Struthio camelus: one gene and its partner. The protein of the gene in region 1 binds, or shares a complex with, the protein of each later gene. Links are inferred from orthologs where the notes say so. Each region holds a gene or a part of one and is shown on either strand. Other genes may lie near its edges.

Region 1 (7,224 bases):
AATCCCAACTTTTAACCTTCTACAGTATGCATATGGTACAATCGTTACATAACTGCCATCCATTTTATAGTCAGGGTTGATGCCTTAGGGCACAGGATGAACTGTGAGGTCTAAATGCTCATCATTTAGATTTTTTTTTTCACTACCACAGACAGGTCTAGTATCATTCTTCTCTCCAGTTAAGACTCAGAAAATAAACAGAGACTTCAAAAGAAAATCCCACTTCAATACCGTTTGTTGACTAAAACATTGAATTTAAGAGTTTGAGGACTCAAACAAATCTTTACTGGTGTGACTGATCTTCATCAACCTGATTCTCAAAGGACACACAGAACAATGCTCACAAACATCACGTGGCAGGATTGTGCTCTATTTTGTTTGAGTACCTTAAGCAAAAAAAATTCCCAGCCAAAAAAACCCAAAAACCTAAGCTGCCCAGTTTATTTGCGTTTATCTTTATGATTTCAAGTTTGATACTGCCCATAATATCCCAGAATACCTTTTTCTTTGTCAACCCTTATGACCACAACACACTCATTCCTCCCAATGCGGATGAGTTTGTTTATGGAACGGATACGTCTTCTGGATAGCTCACTAAGAAGGATCATGCCTTCAATGTTGTTGTATTCCAACAGGCTGACATAAGCTCCCATTTCAGCAATGGACCGAACGTTGACCATCACTACATCTTCCACTTCTGGAAATTTATGCTGGTAGAATCTACAGCTTAGTCCTGGCATTCTGTAATTTGCGCAAAAAGAAACAAAGATGACTTAGCTCATAGTACACCACTAACCTCTCCCACAAACGTAGTAAGAAGCAGCAAGGACTAGTAAGGATAAAGAGGAACACTGAACTCTGGAACAAGAAATTGCAAATTACTTTAGGAAAACATTTCCAGAATTAGGCTCTCATAAAATACTAAATTAATTTATCTTAGTATTTAGTATTATCACAGGCTTTGCTAAGATGATCATCTTTTGCATGAAGGTAAAAAACCTTGCTACCTAGTTATTATCCACTTCGACTGTCGTATGACATATATTGCACAATACAGAAGAGACTTCATGTGGTGAAAAGGAGGTACAGCACTCTTCATTCATCTAAATTCATAATATCATGTAAAATTATAAATCAGATTTCAACAACAGGAGCACACAGAAGAGAAGAGAACTGCAGCGATAACAAACATATCTGTAAGCGTATCATAAGACAGCATGTGAAATGTTGATAAAATAACAAGCAGAGCAAAGCTTCTGTAGTACTGAGAAAGAAGAGACCCCATCTATCTCTATACTCTAGAAAATGATATTTTAAACTCAACATAAAATATTTGGAATAATTCCGTACAGAGAGAGGAAGGCTTACAGCTCCAGAGGCCACTTTTCAGAAGTCAAAGGATGCAAGAACAGCAGAACACACGCAAAAAAGAAGGCTCATGCTTCATAAACGTGCAGCGATAAGAAGAAATGCACACTAATCCATGCAGTTTCATAGGAAACTGCTTCATTTTCCTGATGATGAGAGTAATCCACACATTCATCACTACTAATCAGGCTACCCCAACTCCTTTTGTCTATGCCTAGAAGTTTGATACAGAACTATAAGATCACTCTGGATGTAGCAGCCTGTAATACCAAGTCAAACATGTTACTTCCCTGAAAGATTTAATTGCCATTTCAAAGTTTCACGCCTGATCTTCACAGCAGTGCTAACGCACTGCATCAATACAAGAATATTAAAAAGAGTAAGACGGTGATGCCAACTGCTACACAAACACGGCCAAACAATTTTGAAGAAAGTGTCCATCTTTATTTTCATTCTTCACTAACTTTGAGAAAGGAGAAAATATAAACTAGTGAAGCAATTATGAAAACAGTCCTCTAAAGGTTTCACGTAACCATAAGTTCAACAAAGAATCCCAAGACTAAAAATACACATTTTACAATTTACCTTTCCAGTCTATTTAGTGCAATTCAGATTAATCCTGAATATCTATGTATGAGACACTGAATAAACACATAGCATAAAGCAACAACCCCCAACAATGGCGAGCAAGAACAGACAACTACAGCTCTGCACAGACAGCGTTTCACTGCTCTCTCCGTGGTCACAAGGCATTTATGCTGTCCTCCCATCGAAAGGGCCTCAGGGACAACACGCTACCTGCAGCCCCAAGACTGGGAATCATCTTTCCCAGACGCTGGAAATGAACGGGCAAGGATTTAAATCCACATTGCCACGAAACGACCACAGAGGCCTCTGTAAGAACTGGCAAAACCAGGCTAACTTCTGGCCAGAAACTCCTCCGCTGCGGCGTCGCTGCCACGACCCGGTGCCCAGGCCGGGGAGTCACAGCCCTGGGGGCAGCACAGGCGCCGAAGCGGGGACGGAAGCGGCCCCCGGGGCGGCCGAGAGCCCCCGCCGGGCGCAGGCGCGGACCCCTCCAGCAGGCCGACGGCAAGACGCGGGCAGGCCGCGGCCCGGCCCGACCCGGCCCGGAGAGTGCGGCCCCCCGGGCGGGCCGCTCGCAGCTGCGCGGCAGATGGCGGACGCGGCCCTCGGCGCCCCGGGCCCAGCCCTCCGCCACGCCGGTCCTCGCGAGGAGCCGGGCGGCGCGGCGCGGCGCCGGGGCCCAGGGCCGGAGCCTGAGTCGGCGGTAGGAGGCGAGCTGCGCCGGGACGGGCCGTTACCTGGCAACGGCCGGGGGGTCCCGCTGTCCGCTCGCGCTCCCGGATCCCGCGCTGGCCCGGCTCCTGCCTCAGCGTGCACCGGCCCCCGCCGCCCCGCCGCGCTCCTTCTCGCGAGACGGGCCGGCCCCGCCCCGCCGGATCATAGAGTCCCAGCGCCGAGGTGGGGGGACGAGGCGGACGGTGGGCGGGCGAGGGCGTAGCGCTCGCGCTGCACTAGAACGGTCTCGGAGCCTGCGGGACTCCGCGCGCTGAGAGCGAGGCGACCGCTTAAGAGCCGCAGAGTCAAGAACCTCCTGGGAGCACAAACAGGCCCAGGAACAAGTTACGTCTCTCTCCCTTCCCGCCCCCAGAGGGCGCCGTTGGCCCCGGGCGGGCACGTGACCGCAAGGAAGGGGCGGGGCCGGCGCCGGCCTGCGGGAGGGGGCGGGCTCTCCCATCCGGGTTTCTCCCGGCGCTTCCGGCCTGCTCGGGGCGGGGGCGCGGCCGCTGCGCCGGGGTCGCGTCACTCGGCGGGGGGGGGGGCGTCACGCGAGGGTGCGGCGCGGCGGCAGGAGCGGTCCCGCGGCGCTGCCCGCCCGCCCGCCGCCACCACCACCATGTCGGGCAAGGACCGCATCGAGATCTTCCCGTCGCGCATGTGAGCGAGCCTGCGCGCGGGCCGGGGCGGCGGGCGGCGCGGTCGGCGCCTCGCGGGCCGCGGCGGCTGCGGCCGCCCAGCCCGGGCCGGGCCGCGCTTGCGGCCCCGAGCAGAGCCGCGGGGCGGGGGGGGGGCCCGGCCCGGCCCGGCCCGGCCCGGCCCGGCCCAGCCGAGCTGCCGATGCCTCTGCGGGATCAGTTCCGCTTGTGGCATCCACCGGCGTTTCCCGTGCCGCAGGCTGCGCCCGCTGTCGCCGGCCCTCCTGCTGTGCGCCCCCAAGGGCAGTCTCGCTCTGTGTTTCGCGTGAAACCCCTTGCTAGGCAGTTGGAGACTGCAGCTTGATCTTCCCGTTAGTCTCTTTTTTCCAAGTTGCTCAATATTAGCTCTCTGGGCCATGCGAGGGCCATTGCAGGGGCCAGTACCAAGGGAGAAGCAGCTTCCCAGGGGCTTATTATACAGTAAGGCAAAGTTTGATTGCAAAAAAGACCAATTTGTAGAATCTGGGTTCAAGAAAAAAGACCGCAAATCAAACCGCATTTTCTCTTCTAAATAGTTGCCACTGATATAACTAATGTGGCAGCAACTGCATTCGAGAGGTTGGCTGTAAAGGGTTAAGAAAATACAGGAAGTCAAATGCAAAAAGTGCAGTGGACAGTCAAGTAATTTTCCAGATCCTGACAGCAGACTATTTGTCATGAAGTCAGGTGCCTTTTGACAAGGCTTGGGAAGAGGCCGACGTTGGAATGAATGCAAATGTTTAAAATTGACATGCTATTAAAATTGCTATTGTAACAGTGCTATTCATTTTCTCTTCAGAACTCCCTGGGATAGAAGGACTTTGCTTTAAAGTGGAAAGCTGTTTCAAATCTTGCATAAAAACTGGGTTGATGCCTGAGATATAGTCTTTATGAAAGATACCTTGCAGTGGTAGAGAACCTCACATGTAAAATAACAGTCCTTCCCTCATATGAGCTCAGGATGTATGAAATAACACCTTACATGGAAAAATTAATATATTACATGGTAAAGATTCTGTTTTGAATCTTGGATCAGAAATAAGCTGCTGTAGGTAGTAAGTCATTTGGTCTTGCATCTGCTGTTGACCGTCCTCTTTTCATTGAGTTTACACGTCCAAGGAAAAGACACTTCAGTTATTTTGGAAAGGCACCTGTGTTGTGGGCTGGTACCTCATTGTGGCAAGAAGGTGATGATGTACGAAGGCTTAATATTTACAAGCCTCTTCTTCAAAGGAGGTAATAGACCAATAATGCGGCTGATATTTTGATGGGGAAGTAAGTTAGGGCAGTAAAATAAAGATGGCCCCTCTCTGCCTCTGGAACAAATCTTTTTGTTAACTGACAGAGCAGAGTTTTCAAAATCCTTCTTTTTCTTTTTTCTTTCTTTTTTTCTTTTACTCTTTGGTCTTGCTGGTATGAACCTCTTCTGTACTGGACGTGATCCCTTGCAGAAACTGCTCTTATTGACAGTAAACAAGACTTTGTTTAACGCGTTCTCAGAGCCCGTGAAATCTTGCTTGAAGTAGAAACTGAGCCAGTCTCTGACAGGTAGCGAGCAGAGCAAGTGAGCTGGTTCAAGGTGGTGGCATTCCAGAACCAGTTCCAGTTTGTTATGAAAGTAAAGCTACCTTTTTATTCTTTGACCTTGTTTTTCATCATGAACATTCAGAAAGTACTCACTTTTTTTTTCCGGTTATAAGCGTCTTTTAGACATTAATGAAGCCACTCTTATAATATGCCTGTAAAGTGGGGGAAGTAATGGATTTCACAGTGTAGGTAGAATCTTAATTATACTTAATTTTTCCAAGGTCAGAGAGGAAGTGTGCAGGCTACTCCTTTCACAGAGCTGTCTTGAGTGTTGTCCTTTGTGTGTAGTAATTATGTGTACAAAGCAGTAGCTTAAGTTAGCAAAACTTGTGTTTTTTGTAGTATAGCTACTGTCATTTTAGTTAACCTAAATCAACAAATTGTGCAATTTAAACCATACTTCACAGGAGTAGAGGGAAACGGGGATCCTTCAGTTCCCAAATCTGTGTCAGAATGGTTCATTTGGAGTAGCTGTCATCAGGAAAAATGAAAACTCTTTATTTCCTATTATGAAGGGGCTGAAAAATAACTTGTCAATTTTCCATGCTATTCAGCTTTACAGATACTAACCTTGTAATCCTCATTGATGGAGAGGAGATAAGTTCCCTTGATTTCAAACAGAAAAAGAGAATTCTTTCCTGAATTGTCCAACCTGGTTTACTGCATTGATTTTGCTCGGTTGCTTCATAATTTCAGTCATGTCCGTGCCAGGAAACTTGTTATGACTTTTTCCTAATCCCTTTGGATGACACAGGGCCTTTTTGTTTCTTGGTCTGTTTAACAGGGCTCAGACCATCATGAAGGCTCGTTTGAAAGGAGCCCAAACAGGTCGTAACCTCTTGAAGAAAAAATCTGATGCTTTGACACTTCGATTCAGGCAGATCCTTAAGAAAATTATTGAGGTAGGTAAACTGGAATTTTCCTATATTTAGCTCACTCCATTTAAAAGTTCTCTGTTATATGTCAGTTGTACGTTCCCATCCTGCTAACTTCATAAGGTAAGCTAGAATGTAGTACAACTTTGTGTATAACCTGTGTTTTGTAAGTGAGGCTACTGAGGACAAATAAGCAGAAGTATGTTTTCCTGGCTGCGATGGTACTGAAAATCTGTAAGACTTAATATTCTTCCCCTCTTTCCAACTAGCGCTAGATTCTCTTATTTTATATCTAGAGTTTCCTACTGCCTGCTCTGCTACGTTACAGGGGGTTTGCTGTGACAGTGCTAAGTGCTGTAGGAGTGGATTTAACATGTTCTGTGGTACTATTTTTTTTTGCTAGAGAGCACACTGCAGATCTGTGTTTCCTGCATGATCAGGTACACCAGGAGGTAGAGACAAGAAGTTTCATCCAGATCGAATTTCTTTCTTTATAAAGAAATGCCAAGTCCTGTTTCCTGCGCTCTTTGCAGCACAAATGACAAAATACAAGATATTCAGTAGAGCCTGGTGTGGCTTGTTCTGTCCTACCATACTAGATGGGATTCATCTGTATTGTTTAGACTATTACTGCTGCGGATGGCCAGGGTTAGCAGTAGTACTTTGTTATCATGCTTTAGACAAGCTTTTGGCACTCTTACGTCTAGTTGCCTGTAGACAAACAGAACAGCAATGCACTGGCTGATACACAAAGGCTCTTGCTTCTGAATAGCATATTTTTTTTAGCGCCAAGGGACTGAAATGTGTAAAAATAGGAAAACTGGAGCAGGAGGAGAGAGCAGCTTCACTAAGCTGCATACATCTGTATGCTGAACAACAACTTAAGATATCTTACATTATTCAGTACAATATCAGGTAAGAGTGTTTTCCCACTGTGCCATTATATTGTTGTGAATTAACGCTCACCTAGTATGGTTTTCTGCTGATAAAGATAGTCAAGTCTTTCGCAGTTCTGTGAGTTCTTACACTGACTCAAACAGCTTTTTCTTTTTTTTTTTTTTTTGCCAGTCACCTGGGAATTATGATTTCTGGTTTGAGATATAGAATTTCCTCTGTCTTAAATTCTGTATTGTTTTCTTGATGCTTTTAATTATCCATCCTGCAGAAGGAGTAATGTGCCTTATGTTTGTTGCCTCCTCCCCCCCCACCCCCCCCCGCCCCCCAGACTAAGTTGCTGATGGGTGAGGTGATGAGAGAAGCTGCCTTTTCACTTGCTGAGGCAAAGTTCACAGCTGGAGACTTCAGGTGAGGACTGCTGATCTTACTTGTGGGAATCCTACGCATGGGAAAGAGTGATCAACAAACTGTTGCTCTCTCTTTTGGAAAAAAGTAAAATTCTTAAATACTTGTTAAAA
Region 2 (7,723 bases), on another chromosome or scaffold:
GATTAGGGATACTCCTCAGTTTCAGGAACGTGAATATCTTGATAAAATGCTAACTACACAGTGAAGTTTAACTCTGCCTCGTAATATCCTCGGCCAAACACATAAGATGTTCCTCATCTTGTCCACTTTTCTTTACGTTCTTTCAACCTGTTTTGCTCATTGAAAATACAGACCTAAAAAGCAAACCATCAGCTAAACATTCTGAAAAGGAGAAATGTTAATGCATCACGCAAAACTTTCAGATTTGTCCAGTCAAGCCACCCTCTGCACTGGATTACAGCTGCCTTGGTAAGCAGACTGGTATGTTTTCTTCTCTTGGAGGCATTCTGACATGCATTTTGCACTAATGTAGGAACTGGGATTTAGTTATAATAGTTCTTTCCTTTCTCATACTTTGTACTTACATACACTAAGCAGTAGTGATTTAGCAATCAATCAGTTTAAAAAATGCTAGTGCTTACTGTATGCAAATTAGAAAAAAAGGTAGCCTTTTTGCATAGCACCCCAGTTCCTTTTTCCGTGTATCCCCACCCAAGTTCTGTACTTAGGCCTGACTTCATTCTCATATGCAAGCATCAAGTACTCGTTTTATAGCAGGCATATTCTCCTAATTGGGCACCAAAAGGTTTAACTTGTTTAGCTTGTTTGGTGACTGTGACAGACTAAGTAACAATCTCTGTACTTTGAACAAGCTTCTATAAAGCTCATATATAACTCTGTCAAAGTAAAATTGGGATGAATAGTGTTAAGATTTAGTGATCAGACTTACCCAACTGCAGCATCTAGAATCACAGTCACAGGAATGTTCAACTTGCGCAGAGCTTTTGCCATTTTTTGCCTATTAAAACAGCATGTTTGAAGCTTAAAAGTCTTTCTTTAAAGACCGCTAGAAAAATATTGTCTGAAGGAGTGAAACCCATGACTGCCCACGTTCCCTCGCCAGTAGTTTTGATTTGTGATGTTCCCCCTAAAGGAAAATAAATTCTTGTGTAGAAATGGAAACAAACAGATTATGACAAACCTGACAAAGTCAAGTCAGTTTTAGCAGTCTGGAATTATAGCTACAGAAAGATAAGTCAGGGAAACATTATTAAGATCGCTGATTACCTAAGCTGTCTCTGCTTTTCCATCAACAAGACACAAGAAATAAAGCATGGGCTGTATTGCTAGAAGTTATTTTAGTGACCCTGATAGATCATACGTACTTCATTTAGCTAAACGTCCTTTATGCTAGTGAAAGACTGGTTAGCAACACGAGTACGTATAGCTATGTCCCGCATGCAACTGTATTCTCTGGAGAGGGAAAGCCTGCTATCAGTAACACACGTTATCTGGCATCTTCAAACGACGTTGTTAGCTAAATATTTTACTTTGTATGCTTAAAGATTATACTGACTATTTTGGCCTGCTTCTGAAGCTGACAACCAGAAGTCAATCGTCTCCCGTCAAAAAAGGAAAAAAGTAAATCGGCACTGACTGAAGGTTTGTAAACCTTTGAGGAAAACCCAGGTAGCAGTGTAATGAGGTTATTTAGTACAGAAAATTAATTGCCAATAACCAGGCAGCAGTGTAATGAGGTTATTTAGTACAGAAAATTAATTGCCAATATTTATGTTTACTTGTCTGGAACAATGTTACATTATTAGTGATACAGTTACCCTTGAAAATGATGCAAATAAACTTAGCTTTTCTTAAGATATGACAGATGTGATGCTGGCTGATAGATAAAACACAAAATTAATGTGTACTTGCCCTGCTTGATCTGGCTGTGATTCAGTGACATAAACACTGAATCGCTTCTTTGACTCAACAGCTGCTTCTAACACTCTGAGGACCACTCTTGAGTAGGCATGTGTCAATATTCGCTGTCAAAAAAAACACATTACTTTTTGCTGAGCTTCCGAGAACTTTTGTTGTTGTTGTGTCATGGGTTTTACTTCACACAACTGTCCGCCAACTTTAAATAATACTGTACGCCATTTGTATTATACAAATTATAGGACAGCAAACCACTCTGAGCTGGACTTTACATGGCAGGTTTTTACACAGCCCTGATGCTGCCGAGGGGGCCGAGGATCTAATACTTTCAATGGAGAGTTCACATTGAGACTCCTCAGCACCTCTTACAAGTAGGCCACAAGGTAATGCTGCTTTGCATAGAAATAGAGGTAGGGGGAGGGGAAGTCTTAAGAAAATAAAGCAATGGGTGACGTTATGCCTGTGTATTCACAAAAGCCACCATCAGACGACGTTGTCATAAATGGATGCTAACAAATGTCACTCCCCTCCAGCTTCGCCACCGCTGGAAGCAGCGGGGCACCCGCACAAGAGCAACGCCGCCTCGGCCTACTTACGGCACCGTCTCTGATGAAGGGATGGCAGAGCTTGGCGATCTTGTTCCTCGACAGGGAGACCTTCCTGAGGAAAATCTCCCCTCGCTCGATCATGATTTCTTTGCACTTGGAGTAGTCCTGGAAAAGAGAGCGAGCCGGGCGTGAGGCCGGCGAGGGGGGAGGCCGGCGGCGAGGGGGGAGGCTGCCCTCACCGAGTGCTCCAGCGAGGTGAGGCTGATGAAGCGCAGGAAGAGCTCCCCGCCCGAGGACACGGCCACCGAGGAGTCCACCCGCGACAGCGTGGCGATGGCGTCCAGCAGGCTGCTCCGCAGGCCCTGGATGGTCTCGCCTGGGGGTGGGGGCAGAGGCGCGCCGTCAGGGCAGGCCGGGGCCTGGCCGGCCCGGGGCGGGGGCGGGAGGGGAGGGAAGGGGGAGCCGGGCCCACCTCGGTCCCGCTTGAGGAAGCCCAGCAGCGCGCGGATGGCGGCCACGGCCGAGGCGACGTCGGGGTCGTCCCTCAGCTGCGCCCGGAAGGCCTCGATCAGGTCTGCAAGGCAAAAGCAGGCGCCAGCGTCAGCCCCGGCCGCGCCGCCCCGCGCCCCGCCCGCCCCGCGCCCCGCCGTTACCGTCCGTGCTCATGGCGGCGGCGGCGGCGGCGCTGCGCTGCGCTGCGCTGCGCTCCCCCCGCACCGCGGCGCGGCGGCCGGCCGGCCTGCGCGTGACGTCACGCCGCGCGCCGTCACGTCACGGCGGCGCCGCAGCGGCGGGGAGGCGGCGCGGGCGGCGACATGAGCGCGGGTGAGGCGGGCGCGGGCGGCTCGGGGCCGGCGGCGCCGCCGCCGCCGTGTCCCGGCGTGACGGCGCCGTGTGCTCTGTCTTTCAGATGACGAGCTGAGCCTGCTGGTCGTCATCGTTGACACCAACCCGATCTGGTGGGGCAAGAGGGCGCTGGGGGAAGCCGAGGTACCGGTACCGCTTCCGCCGGCCCCGCGGGGCGGCTCCCTGAGGAAATTAACGTTTTTCGGTCTGGCGCTTATTTCTTTGCGAGCTGCCCGCAGACGGGCTAGGTCTCTGATTTCAGAGCTGTGCGATGCAATTGATAATTGCGTGAGACTGCTCTTAACGTGCCTGCTCGGTGTCCTGTATGGCTTGAGCCTTCTTTCCCGCCCCTAAATCCTTCCCATTAAGAAATGAATCTCCTTCAGCATCCTAAAATTCGAGTTCTTTTAAGTCTTCAGTCATTTGAATTGAGAGATTTCTTCTAAATTACTCAATTTTGAATATTATCGTGTTATATCTGCTTTTTTTTTTTCTTCTGTTTTTCAGCAGTTCACCCTGTCAAAATGCCTGGATGCGGTGATGGTCCTGGGAAATTCGCACTTGTTTATGAACCGTACCAACAGGCTGGCTGTGATAGCGAGTCACACGCAAGAAAGGTGTAGTTGCTTGTTACTGGTGTACAAACTTAATTTTAAAGTGCTCTTTCCTACAGCTCTCCCCTAAAGTCCTTGTTGGACTGGAGTTTGTTATTGAAACCAAGTTTAAAATGTGTAACCTATCATTCTCTTAAAAATAGAAATTAATTAAAACAGAGTGAGAAAGAAATAAAATGGGCTTTTACTTAAGCAACAAATATATGTAGATTGAAGGTGAGGAGTCGTGTAGTGAGCAGGACAACAGAAGTGGGGAAATTTTCCTGTTTAGTGAGTCCTGTGTTGCCCCTCCACCCCAAGTTATTTGTGAGTCTCAGGAACAAGTGGTCTGCCCCTCAGGGCAGACACGATGTCTGCTAATTTTCTTAAACCGTGCCTTGAAAGGAAGGGAGTGAATGCAGGCATTACTCCATTGTGATTTTGAAGATTGCCTGGCTTATGTAGTCTCTTTAATGGCTTAAGCATTAAAATTATGGAAAGCTCTACTTCTGAGTATTGCTGTCTACAACTGGTTTATTTATTTATTTTTCTTATGAGCATATTGGCAAAACATGAATACTTTATTCTTCTCTTTCAGTCGTTTCTTGTATCCCGGGAAGCGTTGGACTTTTGCAGATCTCTTTGGAGATGGTGGTAGTTTTGCAGAATCTAATTGCTCTGGCAGCAGAGATGGGAAATACGAATTGTTAACAGCAATAAATGATGCAATTACAGAGGAAATTAAAGACCTCATGACGAAAAGTAAGGAAAAGACAATTCTAGGTTTAATATGCGGAATTAGAAAATACTGGAGACTTTCAAGGAGTTGCTGGCATTTCCTTTGTATGCGGCCTTATTTTGGTCTTCTGAATTTTAATGTGTTTAAAGTAGATAAGGTTATACCTGACACTTTTGGGGTCTCTGCGCTAATCCTATTTGCCAAAAATAGAACTCAAATGAAGTATTTATTATGGTCAAGTTCGGCAACTGTTTTCATATATAAAGTAACTTCTGCAGCTTGTCTTGTATTGCAGCTGACATGAGGGGCCAGCAAACAGAAACTCTGCTAGCAGGATCACTTGCTAAAGCACTTTGTTGTATCCTTTTAATGAGTGAATTTTCAAAGCCATTATTTCTATCTATTTTTTAAGACCGTTTCTTATCATATTGATTATGCTTCACTCTAGGATTTACTGTTCTATAATAATATTCAAAGCAGAGATGTTTTTTAAAACTATGATTTGTCTAATAACTGTGGATTGTGGTTACTAAAATGTGTGTTAGCTAAGGTGCTGAACGCATAGTACAAGTACTGGATTTACTTTCTGGTTTGGTAATTTTTGGAAATGTTATGTCTGCTTCTTGGGCATGCTAAGAATAGAGTGTTGATTCCTTAATGTCAACTAATGTAGACATTAACAAGATGAGCAAAGAGGTGAAAGGTAATACCTTTTCTCTTGTTCTGAGTGAATACATAAATATTTGAATTGGAAGGACAAGAAAAAAATGTATGCACACATATATACGTACAAACAAACATGCATATATTTCTGTACCCTCTTTCCCACATTGGCAATAATAGGTAAAGGTTTGTCTTGATTGTCAAGTTGCCCAATGTGAGCTAGGTCTGGGTGGATTAGAAATAAGCATTTATGGAAGTGAGGCAGAAAGCAAAGAGAATCTTAAAATTTGGGGGAAAAAATCTTAGAACTTCCAAGTAAAACAAACATAATTCTAAAAAGGCGCAAATCCACAAATGAGCTTCCACAAATTAGAGCCCAGTTTTAAATGTCTTCCAAAATTCTTGATGTGGCATCCAAAAGGACCGCAGTACTCTGCATCAGATGTTTCAACCTCTTCCATATTGAACGATTAAAAAAAAATGATTTTTATCTCAGCTGGGTGTAAAACACCTAAAACAAGGAGGTTAAGCATCCGTTGTTGGAAACAATGGAGAGAGCTATCGATTAGGAGAACTCTCAGTTCTTTGGAGAATTAAAATTCTGCTGTAATACAAACTTTTAGTACTGTGATATTTAACAACACAAATCATTCTTCTGTAGAGCTGTTTTCTTTTTCTGCAGCTTTAGAATCATAGGGTAATTTATTTTGGAAGGGACATTGGGAGGTCTCTATTCCAGGCTCCTGTTCAAAGCATAGACCGCTATGAGGTCAGACCAGGCTCCCCAGGGCTTGAAAATAGAAATAATGAAAATACTGAACATAACTTAGTATTTATAATATTACTTTGGGTCAGATTAGTCTGTGTTCTTGTTCTAGTTTTCTGTTGCATGTGGGTGAACAGTAAAATTGGAATCTCTTCAGGACAAGTAAAAACTGCAAAGAACTCCTTGAAAGTTGCGTGAAGTGCAAATCCTCTTCCAAAGGGACCATCTGCAGAGTTGGGATGATAGTTTAATTTCTTACTCAGTCTTGGTCTTCCTCTTGTGACTTCTGTAATCAGGAGAAGTGCTACTTGTGCAGCTGGTTTTGCGAGGTGAAACTGGACTAGAATCAGCTATACACTTCAGATCGCTTTGATCAGTGAGAATTACCTTGTTATTCTTGAGATATGTATTTGAACCAGTGAGCTGGTAATGAACAGCTTTAAAATTTCTTTCCCGTTCAATATCCAATTGCTTTTGGATAACAAATGAGATGGTATCCACTTTCATAGCAGATCTGAATTAGCCCACAGATACTCGTCAAGTATTTCTGCTGCTCTTAATGCCATTGAGAACATAAAACAGTCGCATACATCTATTTTAACCAAAGTGTTAGATCATGCTGCATAATTACAAGGACAAGCTACAAGGGGTAGAAATAATGTGCTCATGCATTTCTCTTTCTTTTCAATGCTTAGGCAATCAAGAAATTAAATCAAGAATTCTGGTAAGAGTTTTTGTTGTCAATTTTCTTTGAGTGTTGAAATACGGCTGTATTATGTAGACTAACAAGTTTGAATTGCTTTACGTAGGTCATAAAAGCTGCAGAAGACAGTGCACTGCAATATATGAATTTCATGAATGTGATCTTTGCAGCACAGAAACAGGTGAAGTTGGCATTTTATTTACTATATGATACACACTGTCTTTTATTAATGTATAGATGTAACAAAATCGTTCATTTCTCTTATGATCGTGGTCTAGTTAAAGACTTCTTGAAGGTTATGAAGCCTATCATGTCTAGGGTGAAAGGCAGGAGTTTAAAAAACAGACCTAGATCACTGCATTTGAACATAAAAGGTCTAGTAGGCCAGTTGAAGTTTGCTCTGGAAGTACAGACAGTAACCCTTTTTCCCATCCTTGTAGATAATGTATAAGATACCTTTTCTGGTAGTTCTTGTATTGCCATATATTAGGAAGTGGAGGCTGGAAATCTGGATTCGTGTGCTGCTCAAGTAAGAGACCTTCCCTGTGTCTGTGGTGGGCCTGCAGGCTTAAAAATGTGTGCATGCATGGAGCGTTTGTATAGCTGAAACAGATCAAGACAATAACCCTGAGGTTGCACTGGTCCTAGCTGCGTTTCTGTTTTTCATGAGTTTCCCCTTTTTGGTTGCAGAGTATTTTGATTGATGCCTGTGTCTTGGACTCTGATTCAGGTCTTCTGCAACAGGTACAGGCTTCTTATTCCTATTTATTGTTTACAGTAGTTGTTAGATATTTGATCAGAAATCAACATGTTTAAAGCTCTCCTTTTTGCAGCCATGTCTTGAAAGGGAGCCTCTCTTGCACCATTTTATGGGACATCATTGAGGAGTTCTTTCACATCTGCAAGATCCTTTCTCTTCCTTTAATCATGTATTTTTTCATAAAAATCTGTTTGCCCTTTTATTGTAACATAAACCTGTATTGTTTGGTTTTCCTTTGACGTGATTGCTATAAATTGTTGCCCTCTTCATAGGACTAAATATCACAGAGACACACTTGACTATGTCTATGTTGGTCAAGAATCACAATGTAGAATAATACAGTAAAC

The links.
Region 2: the proteins of EIF2S1 (region 1) and EIF2B1 are in contact, whole or in part, in a cryo-EM structure (PDB 6K72), measured with the Homo sapiens proteins. The link is inferred for Struthio camelus from reciprocal best matches to the Homo sapiens genes EIF2S1 and EIF2B1. Residues at the interface, in NP_004085.1 of Homo sapiens: Ala28, Glu29, Met30, Tyr33, Gly44, Met45, Leu47, Leu48, Arg75, Lys80, Tyr82, Ile83, Asp84, Arg88; in NP_001405.1 of Homo sapiens: Gly39, Thr41, Ile42, Gln43, Gly44, Leu45, Arg46, Ala47, Asn48, Glu70, Arg74, Ser77, Ser80, Leu81, Glu82, Tyr83, Ser84, Asp85, Tyr86, Cys89, Leu305.

Annotation. Positions count from the first base shown.
Region 1 is NC_090946.1:46,693,030-46,700,253, forward strand, and holds the start of EIF2S1 (eukaryotic translation initiation factor 2 subunit 1), read right to left. Parts: upstream 3,042-7,224; 5' UTR 2,694-3,041; intron 742-2,693; 5' UTR 741-741; coding exon 500-740; intron 1-499. Other genes in the region: ATP6V1D (V-type proton ATPase subunit D), read left to right, coding at 3,290-3,330, 5,719-5,836, 7,035-7,114. UniProt on the Homo sapiens protein: Member of the eIF2 complex that functions in the early steps of protein synthesis by forming a ternary complex with GTP and initiator tRNA. This complex binds to a 40S ribosomal subunit, followed by mRNA binding to form a 43S pre-initiation complex (43S PIC).
Region 2 is NC_090958.1:16,713,438-16,721,160, reverse strand, and holds the start of EIF2B1 (translation initiation factor eIF2B subunit alpha), read right to left. Parts: upstream 3,085-7,723; 5' UTR 2,973-3,084; coding exon 2,960-2,972; intron 2,881-2,959; coding exon 2,779-2,880; intron 2,683-2,778; coding exon 2,546-2,682; intron 2,472-2,545; coding exon 2,355-2,471; intron 1,866-2,354; coding exon 1,753-1,865; intron 839-1,752; coding exon 770-838; intron 1-769. Other genes in the region: GTF2H3 (general transcription factor IIH subunit 3), read left to right, coding at 3,122-3,131, 3,217-3,296, 3,660-3,769, 4,344-4,507, 4,780-4,842, 5,158-5,187, 6,609-6,637, 6,723-6,797 and 1 more.